Macaca fascicularis: one gene and its partners. The protein of the gene in region 3 binds, or shares a complex with, the protein of the main gene of each other region. Links are inferred from orthologs where the notes say so. Each region holds a gene or a part of one and is shown on either strand. Other genes may lie near its edges.

Region 1 (2,817 bases), on a different chromosome or scaffold from region 3:
CGGGTGGACCCAGGGACCCTGGGCAACAGGAAGGCTGCCGTGGGGGCGGCAGGCATCAGCCTTGCGTGTGCTACCTACCGAGAACTCCGGATCCCGAGCCTGGACCCTCAGAGGCTGAGAGGGGGCAGCTGCATCCTTGACCACAACACCTGCTCCAGCGCCAAGTGCCACGGTGCCACGGTACAGGCTCTGGGGGAAGCGGGGCGGGCTCCCGGCTGCAGCCACAGCCTCCACGGTGACCTGGGTCACTGAGTAGCGGGCAAGGTCGGCCTGCTGGCCCTGGAGGCGGGGGAGGCAGCCGTGACTCGTGGGGTTGACGGTGGAGCTGGTGCTGAAGCCTGGGGCTCAGGAAGAATAGATGCAGACTTGGCAGGGGCCCTGCCCCCCCGCCCTGACCCCCGCCCTACCTTCCACCCTGCCCCCACTGCCCTGCCCCCCGTGCAGGTCCCTACCTCACCTTCACCAGCAGAAGAAAGGTCATGGCTCTGGGGACACTCCTGGCCATGGTGAGGTTGCCGGAGTCTCGGTGGATGACAAATGTACTGTTCACATTTCCTGGGAGGACGATGGAAGTGCTCAGTCCCGGCCTCCTGAGGCCCAGGGACCCAGCCAGCTCTGCCTTGCTGGCAGGTGCCCCTGGGGCTTCCCCAGCCCAAGGTGGGGACAGAGACAGGGACAGAGAGGGGTCCGGGGCATTGTTGAGGGCTGGGCCCCACTCACCACTGAAGATGCTGTAGATGATGGCTTGGTTGATGCCGCGGTCTCCATCCTCGGCGTAGATGGGTCCGGGACGCAGGACGAGGGGGGATGGCTTCAAGGATGGTGGAGAGGAGGGCACGTCGTGAGGCTGGGGTGAATGGCCCCAACCTGGCCCCTCTGGCTCCCCATCAAGGTCAGCCAGGGCAGGGCTGGCTGAGGAGGGGCCCAGTCCCGCTGGTGGCCGGGCATCCCTGCCTGTCTAGGACTGTCCCTTGTCCCAGTATCACAGTGAGTCACACCCCTGTGGGTCCCTCACTAACGAATAAGTTGCCCAAAGATACTGAGTGCCATTTGCACGATGCTTGTCTTGACGGCTAAGCAGACATTTAGGAAGCGGGGGGTTCCCGGGGTCTGCGTTTCTGCCTCTCATGTGCTGTTTGGTGGCCCCGGGTGCCTTGGTGCTGTGAAGGTTTGCAGACAGCCTGTGTGGGCCTAGTGGTGACTGTGAGCAGGGCAGAGATCTCACCATCCCTTAAGAACTCCAGGGCCCCAGCCCACCTCCCCAGGCCCCTGAGACCGCCTGGCTCTGGGGCCCACACTCCTCTCTGTGTGTTCAGGGTTTGCTCCCTCAAGATGGGAAAGATTGGTTTATAAGGAGAGTCTGTATTTGTTTCAAAGTCACAACCAAACTTGGCCCCACCCGCTGACCCTGACCCTGCCCTTCTTCTGATCCTGGCCGTCCCTGCCTCCAACCTGCCTAGAAGGCCCCGCCCCGGGCACTGCCCCTCCCTCCCCATTACCAGTGTGTGCCCCGTGGGGACAGCCCCGTGGTACTGAGCTTGGATGCAGACGTAGCCGTCTGAGAAGGTGCAGGGCAGGAACCAGGGGGGCCGCAGGTCGGCAGGCACCACGTTCAGCACCAGCGTGGCGGTGGCCGTGTGGCTGGGCTCCACATTCTCCTCCGGAGTGTCCTGCAACAGCCAGATCAGGCCTGGGAGCAGCTGGGGCCAGGGGGACCTCAAGCATGTGGGACTCAGGGCTGGGGTGAGCCGCTCACCCGCACCAGCAGCCGGAAGGCCATGTTGGGCCGCTCGTAGAAGTCCAGGGGCCGGTCCAGCCTCAGGGCGGGATAGTTTACACCCACCAGGGAGAAGTAGTCACTGGCACCCTGGGGAGGATCAGGGAGGACACAGCCTAAGAGCCTGGGAGGGCGAGGGCGGCTGCGGGTGTCAGTGGCGAGGGGCTCACGCTGGGGCAGGGCAGGCGGCACTGACTGCGGTCGCTTCCTGGAGGGTGTAGAACAGAAGGTCATCCTTGTCTTTGTCCTTGGCCTGCAGTTCTGTCTCAGGGATGACGGTGGAGTTTACTTTAGTGTCCTAGGGAGGGAGAGGGGCTTGGTCTGGCCACACTCTTGGCCCCTGTGGACCCCCGCTGTGGTTGAGCCCCCGGCCACCACTCGCCCCTTGCCCTCACCCTGGGCTCCCGCACCCCCTGCCCAGCCCTGGCAGCTTCGCTGGCCTCACCTCTTCCACCCTTATCTCCTTGGTTGTAAAGGGGAATTCGGGGGCGTTGTCATTGACGTCCAGCACTGACACGAACACCCTCAGCTGGGTCACCTGCAGGATGTGGCCGTCAGCCTCTCCCACAGCCGCTCCCCATCATGAGTGAGGTGTACCCCTCGACGCTATCCTTCCCCATCGTGAGTGAGGTGCACCCCTCGACAGCTATCCGTCCACTCGCTCAGTGGTGTTGGGGGGCTGCAGGGGGGCTGCACAGCTCTAGGTGCTGGGATGCAGAGATCACAAGAGACAAATCTCTGCCCGGTGGTGCCTGTCCTGGCAGGACTTACAACAACAGACAAAAAGGACTTTATAAAGCCAGGAGGTGGCAGGTGCGCCACAGAAAAATAATGCAGGTACTTGGGGATGCAACCAGCAGAATCTCAAGCGAGGAAAGACAATCCAGTTCTTTTCTTTGTTTTCTTTTTGGATACAGAGTCTCATTCTGTCACCCAGGCTGGAGTGCAGTGGCGTGATCTTGGCTCACTGCAACATCTGCCTCCCAGGTTTAAGCGGTTCTCCTGCCTCTGCCTCTCGAGTAGCTGGGATTACAGGCGCC
Region 2 (4,099 bases), on a different chromosome or scaffold from region 3:
CCTGGGCAACAAAGCAAGACCCTGTCTCTATTAAAAATAAAAAATAAATAAAGACCAGCAGAACAGTTATTGTAAGAGAATATTTCAAGCTTTCACAGGTGAGAGAGAGAGAATACCTAAGCATTACTATTCAAAATGGTCCTCAAATGGAACAAGAGCTCTCTCCTGACTGAGAAGAACCCCACACCCTCTTCTAGGAGGACAAACTCAGTGGCTGACACAGTTTGGATCTGTGAGATTTCATGGGGAACAAATCTCAAATCAAACTGTAATCCACAATGTTGGAGGTAGGGACTGGTGGGAGGCGACTGGATCATGAATGGTTTAGCACCATCCCCCTTAGTACTGTCCTCATGATAGTGAGTTCTCATTAGATCTGGTTTCTAGGACCTCTCCCCTTGCTCTCTTGCTCTTGCTTCTGCCATGTGAGATGTCTTTTCCTTCTGCCATGATTGGAAGCTTCCTGAAGGCTCCCCAAAAGCAGAAGCTCCTATGCTTCCTGTGCAGCCCGCAGAACTATGAGCCGGTGAAACCTCTTTTCTTTATAAATTACGCAGGCCCAGGCATTTCCTTATAGCAATGCAAGAATAGGCTAACACATTGATTTTAAAGTAACTGACATCTTGCAGTTTGTGGAAGGAGGTAGCCTTTCTGTAGATGGAGAAAGCTGGGGAACCCTAGGCTGCATAGAAGAGATGAGATGACTGGAGAAGGCTGGCTGATGGGGATCGATGTGTCTGAGAAAAGAAAGTTTTAATCAGACAAGAGAGATGGGGAAGATCTGCTTCACTCACTTCCTCATTCAATCTTCAACTCGAGAACTCTCCCAATCCTGGGTTCTTCTGACTCTTCCTAAATGTTCCCTACTTTAATAAAGGGTGTCAACATCCAAAACCTGGGACCTTAACCCTCCTTTTTCTTTATCTGCCCACGTCCAGTCAATCATTATTGATTCTACATCCAAACTGCCACTCAAATCCAACTATATCTTCCCATTCCCAATGTCACTACCCTAGTCCAACTCATCTCAACCATTAAAACATCCCCAAACATTCTCTCCGACTGTTATCCATCTACCTCAGTGAGTTTTGTAAACATAAATCTACTCTGGAAGCTTCCCTGCATAAACCTAAGACATGGCTTCCTGGGCCCTTAGGATAAAGTCCTTACCAGAGTTGACAAGGCTGTTTGTGATCTGGTCTTATCTCTCACACTTGCCCTGACCCCACTCCTACTCGAGCCATGTCCAGCCATACTCAGCTTCTCTAGTTCTCAGGACACAGTTTTCCATCTTAGGGAAAACACTCTTTCACCTGGCCAACTTGTTCTCATTTTCCTAATCCCAGCTTAAATGCTTTCCCCTTAGGGAAGCCTTCCCTCACCCCTGAGATTGAGGTAAATGCCTGTTTAGTACCCTCTGTTTCCTCTTTTGTAACAAATATCATAGATGAACCAAGCACAGTGGCTCACATCTATAATCCCAGCACTTTGGGAGCCCGAGGCTGTCAGATCACTTGAGCTCATAAGTTGAAGACCATCCTGCGCAACATGGCAAAACCCCATCACTACAAAAAATACAAAAATTGCAGGGCATGGTGGCGCACACCTCTAGTCCCAGCTACTTGGGAGGCTCAGGTGGGAGGATCACTTAAGCCTGGGGCTCAAGGCTGCAGTCAGCTATGATCTCGACACTGTACTCCAGCCTGGGTGACAGAGTGAGACCCTGTCTCAAAGCAAACACACGCACGCGCACACACACACACACACACACACACACACACACACATCATAGATGCCTTGTCTTCCTCTCTCAAATCTGATCACTACGACAGGGATTGTGGCCGTCTTGTTGATCACAGTGTGCCCAGTGGCTAGCAAAATATCTCTTAAGAGATAAGTAGCTGGCACATAACAGATACTGAATAAATGGGTATATTGAATTGGATTCACCTGGCTCCTTTATTTACCTTGCCCTTTTCTCTTTCTTTACCCTCTTGCATTATGGTTGCCAACACAACCTAGCCCTCTGATAACAGGCAGAACAAGCAGAGGAGTTGGCTGACTCCTCCATTAAAATCTGGGCAAAGAGATGGTGTGTGTGTGTGTGTGTGTGTGTGTGTGTGTGTGTGTCTATCCACTAGCCAAACAAGTGATAGAGCTAAGACAGGCTAAAGATTCCTTGTAGAGCCAGCAACTCCACTCAAAAGAGCAAGACCCTGTGTCAAAAATAAAAAATAAAAAAAATCATGAGCTTGCACTGGGATTGAAAGTTAATAAAAGACTGTGGGATTTTGATGGCATAGATAAAAAAACAAACAAACAAACAAACAAAAAACTAAAAACTCATTTGTTCCAACCAAGGTTGACAACTTAAAACCAAGTAAAATAATGGCCTCTTTTAAAAGAGAAAACTGTTTAAATTTCATGAAAAGCATTTTTAAAGGCATAGAATTAAAATATCTTCCCTCTTCCCCATGCAGATAATGCCTTAGAGTTCAGAGTCTCTCCTCTGATTGGGGCTAAGGGATGAGCCACTCCCATATTGCCAGACCTCAGTGAGAAAAGAGAGCATCTCTAGGCATAGTTTTCTCTCTTTCTCTAAAAATCCAATCATTTAGACAATCTAGAAAGAGGATAAAGTATTTGTATTGACATCCCTGACTCTTGCTGCTATCTGCAAAAACCTACTGTGAACACTGTTTCCAACGGAAACCATCGGGTTGAACTTACCCTCTACTGCAGATTATCTCTAGGGCTTCCAGGTTCCCATGGTAGGCTGCCAAGAGAGTGGGAGTCATGCCATCTTCATCTGAAAGATTTAGATCTCGCTTGGTAGCCTCTTTTAGAAGTTCCAGGTAACTATCACTAGCAGCTTGGTGGTAACGAGTAGACATTTTTCCTGCTCACCGGAACTTGGCCAGATGTCTCTCCAGGCAGAGAAGGGTGTTGGCGGAGCAACCTTCCTATAGAGCTGGTTAATTAGTGACAAGGAAGAGTGTCACCAGGGGCAAAGCTCATTCCAACTGCTTCCTTCCGTGGAAGGCAACAAGGTTCAAGCCACTGAACTTGGACCTTTTCTCTCTGAAATAGACATGACGTTGACTATTGAAGACTGCTGTATTCATCTTGAGTGTTTTGAGGCACATTTAATTTTTCTATGCCCATTAGTTTCTTGAGTTAATATTGGCCATCTAGGCACAGGATGTAAGAAATTATTTCTTAAAAAAATGCAGAGCTAGTGTAGTTCACTAGCTGTTTTTTCCAAAAAGAACAGCTTTATTGAGGTATAACACCATTAAATTTACCCATTTTATGTATACAATTCAATGATTTTAGAACATTTATAAAGTTGCATGCCCATTATCATAATCCCGTTTCCATCAGCCCTTAAAGATCCCTCGTGCCATGTGCTGTCAATCCCATTTCCACTCCCAATCCCAGGAAACCACCAGTCTTCTTTCTGTCTCTATAGATTTGTTTTCTATGGGCATTTCAGATAAATGGAATCCTACAATACATAGTCTTTAGCGTATAGCTTGTTTCAATTCACAACTTTTTTGAGGTTTGTCATGTATAGCGTGTAACAGTAGTGTCTTTCTTCCTTTTCACTCCTGAATAATATTCCACTGTACTAACATACCAAATGTTCTTCATCCATTCAATGTTTCATGAATATGATGAATATTTGAGTTGTTTCCATTTTTTAGTAATGATGAATAATGCTGCTATGAACACTGACATACAAGTCTCTGTGTGGACACATATTTTCATGTGTCTTGCGTATACATCTAGGAGCAAAATTGCTGGGTTGCATGGCAATTTACATTTAAATTTCAGAAGTTGCCAGACTGTTTTCCAAAGTTGCTGTACTACTTCACATTTCCACCAATAACATATGAGGGTTTCAATTTCTCTACATCCTTACCAGCCTTATTATTGCCTATCTTTTTGTTTATGGCCATCCTAGTGGATGTGAAATGGTCTTATTATGGCTTTAATTTTAAATTCCCTAATGACTAAGATATTGAGCATCTTTTCATGTGCCTATTAGCCATTCTTACATCTTCTATTCAAATCTTTTGCCCAATTTTTAATTGGG
Region 3 (3,649 bases):
CTATAATACTAGCACTTTGGGAGGCTGAGGCAGATGGATCACCTGAGGTCAGGAGTTCGACACCAGCCTGGCCAACATGGCAAAACCCTGTCTCTACTAAAAATACAAAAAAAAAAAAAAAAATTAGCTGGGCTTGGTGGTGGGTGCCTATAATCCCAGCTACTGGGGAGGCTGAGGCAGGAGGATCGCTTAAATCCAGGGGGCAGAGGTTACAGTGAGCCGAGATTGTGCCACTTCACTCCAGCCTGGGCGAAAAAGTGAAACTCCGTCTCAGGCAAAAACAAAACAAACAAAAAAAGGAAGTAGAGGTCGTGTGTACAGGAGCCCAGGAGCAGAGGGCTCCCAGAAGAAGCCCCCAGCTCTGTAGGGTGCTGTTTGAAACCCATGGCTATAGGCTGTAGAGAGCACATGGGATGTCTGAGTGTGCAGTGGCACTGTGAGGCTGGGCTCTAGAATGATCCCTCGTCCTGGTTCTGAGGGGCTCCGAAAATCAGAAGCCAGCTCAGGTGGTGGAGAGGCTGTGTGGGGCGGGGAGGAGGGAGATCCTCCCTGCCGCCCCGCACCCCCAGCTGCCTTCCACCCGCAGCCCTGGTGGGAAGGACAGGGGAACACTGTCCCCTGAGTGCACAGCTGAGGACACTGAAGCTCGGGGGGCAGTGACAGACGAGGGAGAGGAGGAGCTGGGTTTGAGCTGGTAAGCGACGGGTCCCTCCCTGCAGACCCTGCCCGTGGGCAGCGTGGTGTTCTCCGTGCTGGCCGTGGATAAAGACATGGGACCTGCCGGCATGGTCGTGTACTCCATAGAGAAGGTGAGTATGAAGGGGGCCCTGACCGCCTTCGTGACCGCCAGGGGGCAGCATATCCACAGACAACCCACGGGGCCCGAGCGTTGGGGTGGGGACGTTGGTCGTGCCTTGGCCCAGCCCTGGCCCCCAAACCTTCCTCTGGCCACCAGCCCCCCTCCCCGGAAACCTCACTTTGCCCACTTGCCTAAAGAGGGTGCCTGCTGCAGACCAGACCCTTCTTCCCGCCCGCCTGCTCCCAGGTCTTGTCCAGGTTCCACAGACAGTAAGGGGCGTGTGAACCCATTTCTCATGGAAACAGAGTTGCTGTTGATAGCGCCATTTACCGAGCACCAACCGCGTGCCTGGCACATACCATGCAGTCACCCCTTGGTATCTGTGGGGAATTGGCTCCAGGATCCCTGAGGACACCAAAATCCCTGGCTGCTCAAGTCCCTGGACATGCAATGGGGGTAGTATTTGCATGTAACCTAGACACATCCTCCTGTGTACTTTAAATCACCTCTAGGTTACCTCTAATACCAATGCAATGCAAATACTATGTAAATATAGCGTATTATGTATGCTATATTGTTTAGGGAATCATGGCAAGGGAAAAAGTTTGTACATCTTCAGTACAGACACAACCATTGTGAGCATAGCTACAGTTTTGATCTGTGGCTGGTCAAATGTGTGGATGTGGAACCCACAGAGATGGAAGGCTGACTGCATCTTATTGGATCCTCCTTTCAACCCACTGAGGGTTGTCACCAGCCCCATTTCCCAGAGCTGGAGACTGAGGCTCAGAGAGGTCATACGACCTGGTGCCAGTGGCGTGACTGGTCAGTGGTAGAGCTGGGGCCTTCCCTGTGTTGCTGAGTGGGATCCTCGGGGCAGGGCTGTCCCTAGGGAGACTGACCCAAGTCTGCTCTGCCCCAGGTCATCCCTAGCACTGGGGACAGCGAGCATCTCTTCCGGATCCTGGCCAATGGCTCCATCATCCTCAGTGGCAGCCTCAGCTACAACAACAAGAGCGCTTTCTACCAGCTGGAGCTGAAGGCCTGTGTGAGTGGGGGTGCCAGAGGGGGGGCCTAGGACCCACGGCGCTGGCTCACGGGCGGCCATCTCCCCGCAGGACTTGGGCGGCATGTTCAACAACAGCTTCACCATCCAGTGCTCCCTGCCTGCCTTCCTGTCCATCTCCGTGGTGGACCAGCCTGACCTTGACCCCCAGTTTGTCAGGGAGTTTTACTCGGCCTCTGTGGCTGAGGACGCAGCCAAGGTGCCCAGGGGACCTGTGGGGTATGAGTGGAAGCGGGAGGCGGGGGAAGTTTGAGGAGCACTGACCAGGCACCATTCCAGGGAACCTCGGTGCTGAAAGTGGAGGCTGTGGATGGCGACAAAGGCATCAATGACCCTGTGATCTACAGCATCTCCAGTGAGAATGGGGTGTCCCCAGGCCAGGGCTGGGCCGGGGCCGGGGTCAGTGCTCCGTCAGAGCCACTGGAGCAGCTGTTCCAGCTGTTCCACCTGTCTCCTTGCTTGCCAGACTCCACGTGGCCCGGCTGGTTTGACATCGGGGCAGATGGGGTGATCAGGGTCAACGGCTCCCTGGACCGTGAGCAACTGCTGGAGGAGGATGAGGAGGTGCAGCTGCAGGTCACGGTGAGCAAAGGCCCCACCACCCCTGTCAGAATCCTGCTCTCTAACCTCTGGCTTTTGGTCTCTCTGAGCACTGGCTCTCTGACCTCTGACCTCTGACCTCTGCTCTGTGCCTCAGGCCACCGAGACACACCTCAACATCTACGGGCAGGAGGCCAAGGTGAGCATCTGGGTGACAGTGAGAGTGTTGGACGTCAATGACCACAAACCTGAGTTTTACAACTGCAGCCTCCCAGCCTGCACCTTCACCCCCGAAGAGGCCCAAGTGAACTTCACTGGCTACGTGGACGAGCATGCCTCCCCCCGCATCCCCATCGATGACCTCACCATGGTGGTCTACGACCCGGACAAGGCAAGCGTGGTGGTGCGGGTGTGGGCGGGGGTGGCATGGTGGCCTACGACCCGGACAAGGCAGGTGTGGTGGCGTGGGTGTGGGCGGGGGTGGCAAGGTGGCCTACGACCCGGACAAGGCAGGTGTGGTGGCGTGGGTGTGGGCAGGGGTGGCTGGGGGAGGCCAGTGGAAGCCCGGATTGAGTGACAGTGCCATGTGGTGCTGGGTGGTGGTGCTGGTGGTGCAGGGCGTGGTGACGGAAAATGGGGGTGCTGTGTGCTCTCTGGAAACCTTCGTCGGTAAGCAATGTCATCCTCTGGGCAATCCATGTGGGGCTGAATAGGAGGCCGTGCTGAGTGGAGGCTGATGTTGAACGTCAGATGATGCTGAGTAGAACGTCATTGTCCGTGGTGATGGGTGGCTGACAAGGTCTCCTGGCATTGGGTGGCCATGATTTGGGTAGTCATGGGAACTGGAGGAGGCTGAGCAGTGTTGGGACAAGTGGTTTGAGGGTGTGAGGTGGGAGGGTGTTTTTTTTTTTTTTTGAGATGGAGTTTCACTCTGTTGCTTAGGCTGGAGTGCAATGGCCCAATCTTGGCTCACTGCAGCCTCTGCCTTCCAGGTTCAAGTGATTCTCCTGCCTCAGCCTCCCGAATAGCTGTGATTACAGGCGTGCACCACCTCACCCAGCTAATTTTTCTGTTTTTAGTAGAGATGGAGTTTCACCCTGTTGGCCAGGCTGGTCTCGAACTCCTGGCCTCAAGTGATCCACCCACCTTAGCCTCCCAAAGTGCTGGGATTACAGGCGTGAGTCACCATGACTGGCCATGGGAGGGCACCCTTAAGTGGAGGCTGCAGTGAGAGGTGGGTTACA

What was found.
Region 1: CDHR2 (region 3) and CDHR5 share a complex: the UniProt entries of both Homo sapiens proteins name them as parts of the IMAC/intermicrovillar adhesion complex. The link is inferred for Macaca fascicularis from reciprocal best matches to the Homo sapiens genes CDHR2 and CDHR5.
Region 2: CDHR2 (region 3) and ANKS4B share a complex: the UniProt entries of both Homo sapiens proteins name them as parts of the IMAC/intermicrovillar adhesion complex. The link is inferred for Macaca fascicularis from reciprocal best matches to the Homo sapiens genes CDHR2 and ANKS4B.

What each region holds. Positions count from the first base shown.
Region 1 is NC_088388.1:521,964-524,780, forward strand, and holds part of CDHR5 (cadherin-related family member 5), read right to left. Parts: intron 2,316-2,817; coding exon 2,223-2,315; intron 2,076-2,222; coding exon 1,974-2,075; intron 1,868-1,973; coding exon 1,757-1,867; intron 1,671-1,756; coding exon 1,500-1,670; intron 812-1,499; coding exon 721-811; intron 556-720; coding exon 458-555; intron 339-457; exon of another isoform or gene 280-338; coding exon 79-279; intron 1-78. UniProt on the Homo sapiens protein: Intermicrovillar adhesion molecule that forms, via its extracellular domain, calcium-dependent heterophilic complexes with CDHR2 on adjacent microvilli. Thereby, controls the packing of microvilli at the apical membrane of epithelial cells.
Region 2 is NC_088394.1:20,669,302-20,673,400, reverse strand, and holds the start of ANKS4B (ankyrin repeat and SAM domain-containing protein 4B), read right to left. Parts: upstream 2,932-4,099; 5' UTR 2,895-2,931; coding exon 2,731-2,894; intron 1-2,730. UniProt on the Homo sapiens protein: As part of the intermicrovillar adhesion complex/IMAC plays a role in epithelial brush border differentiation, controlling microvilli organization and length. Plays a role in assembly of the complex.
Region 3 is NC_088380.1:183,478,049-183,481,697, forward strand, and holds part of CDHR2 (cadherin-related family member 2), read left to right. Parts: intron 1-719; coding exon 720-809; intron 810-1,721; coding exon 1,722-1,847; intron 1,848-1,917; coding exon 1,918-2,064; intron 2,065-2,144; coding exon 2,145-2,220; intron 2,221-2,331; coding exon 2,332-2,447; intron 2,448-2,562; coding exon 2,563-2,796; intron 2,797-3,649. UniProt on the Homo sapiens protein: Intermicrovillar adhesion molecule that forms, via its extracellular domain, calcium-dependent heterophilic complexes with CDHR5 on adjacent microvilli. Thereby, controls the packing of microvilli at the apical membrane of epithelial cells.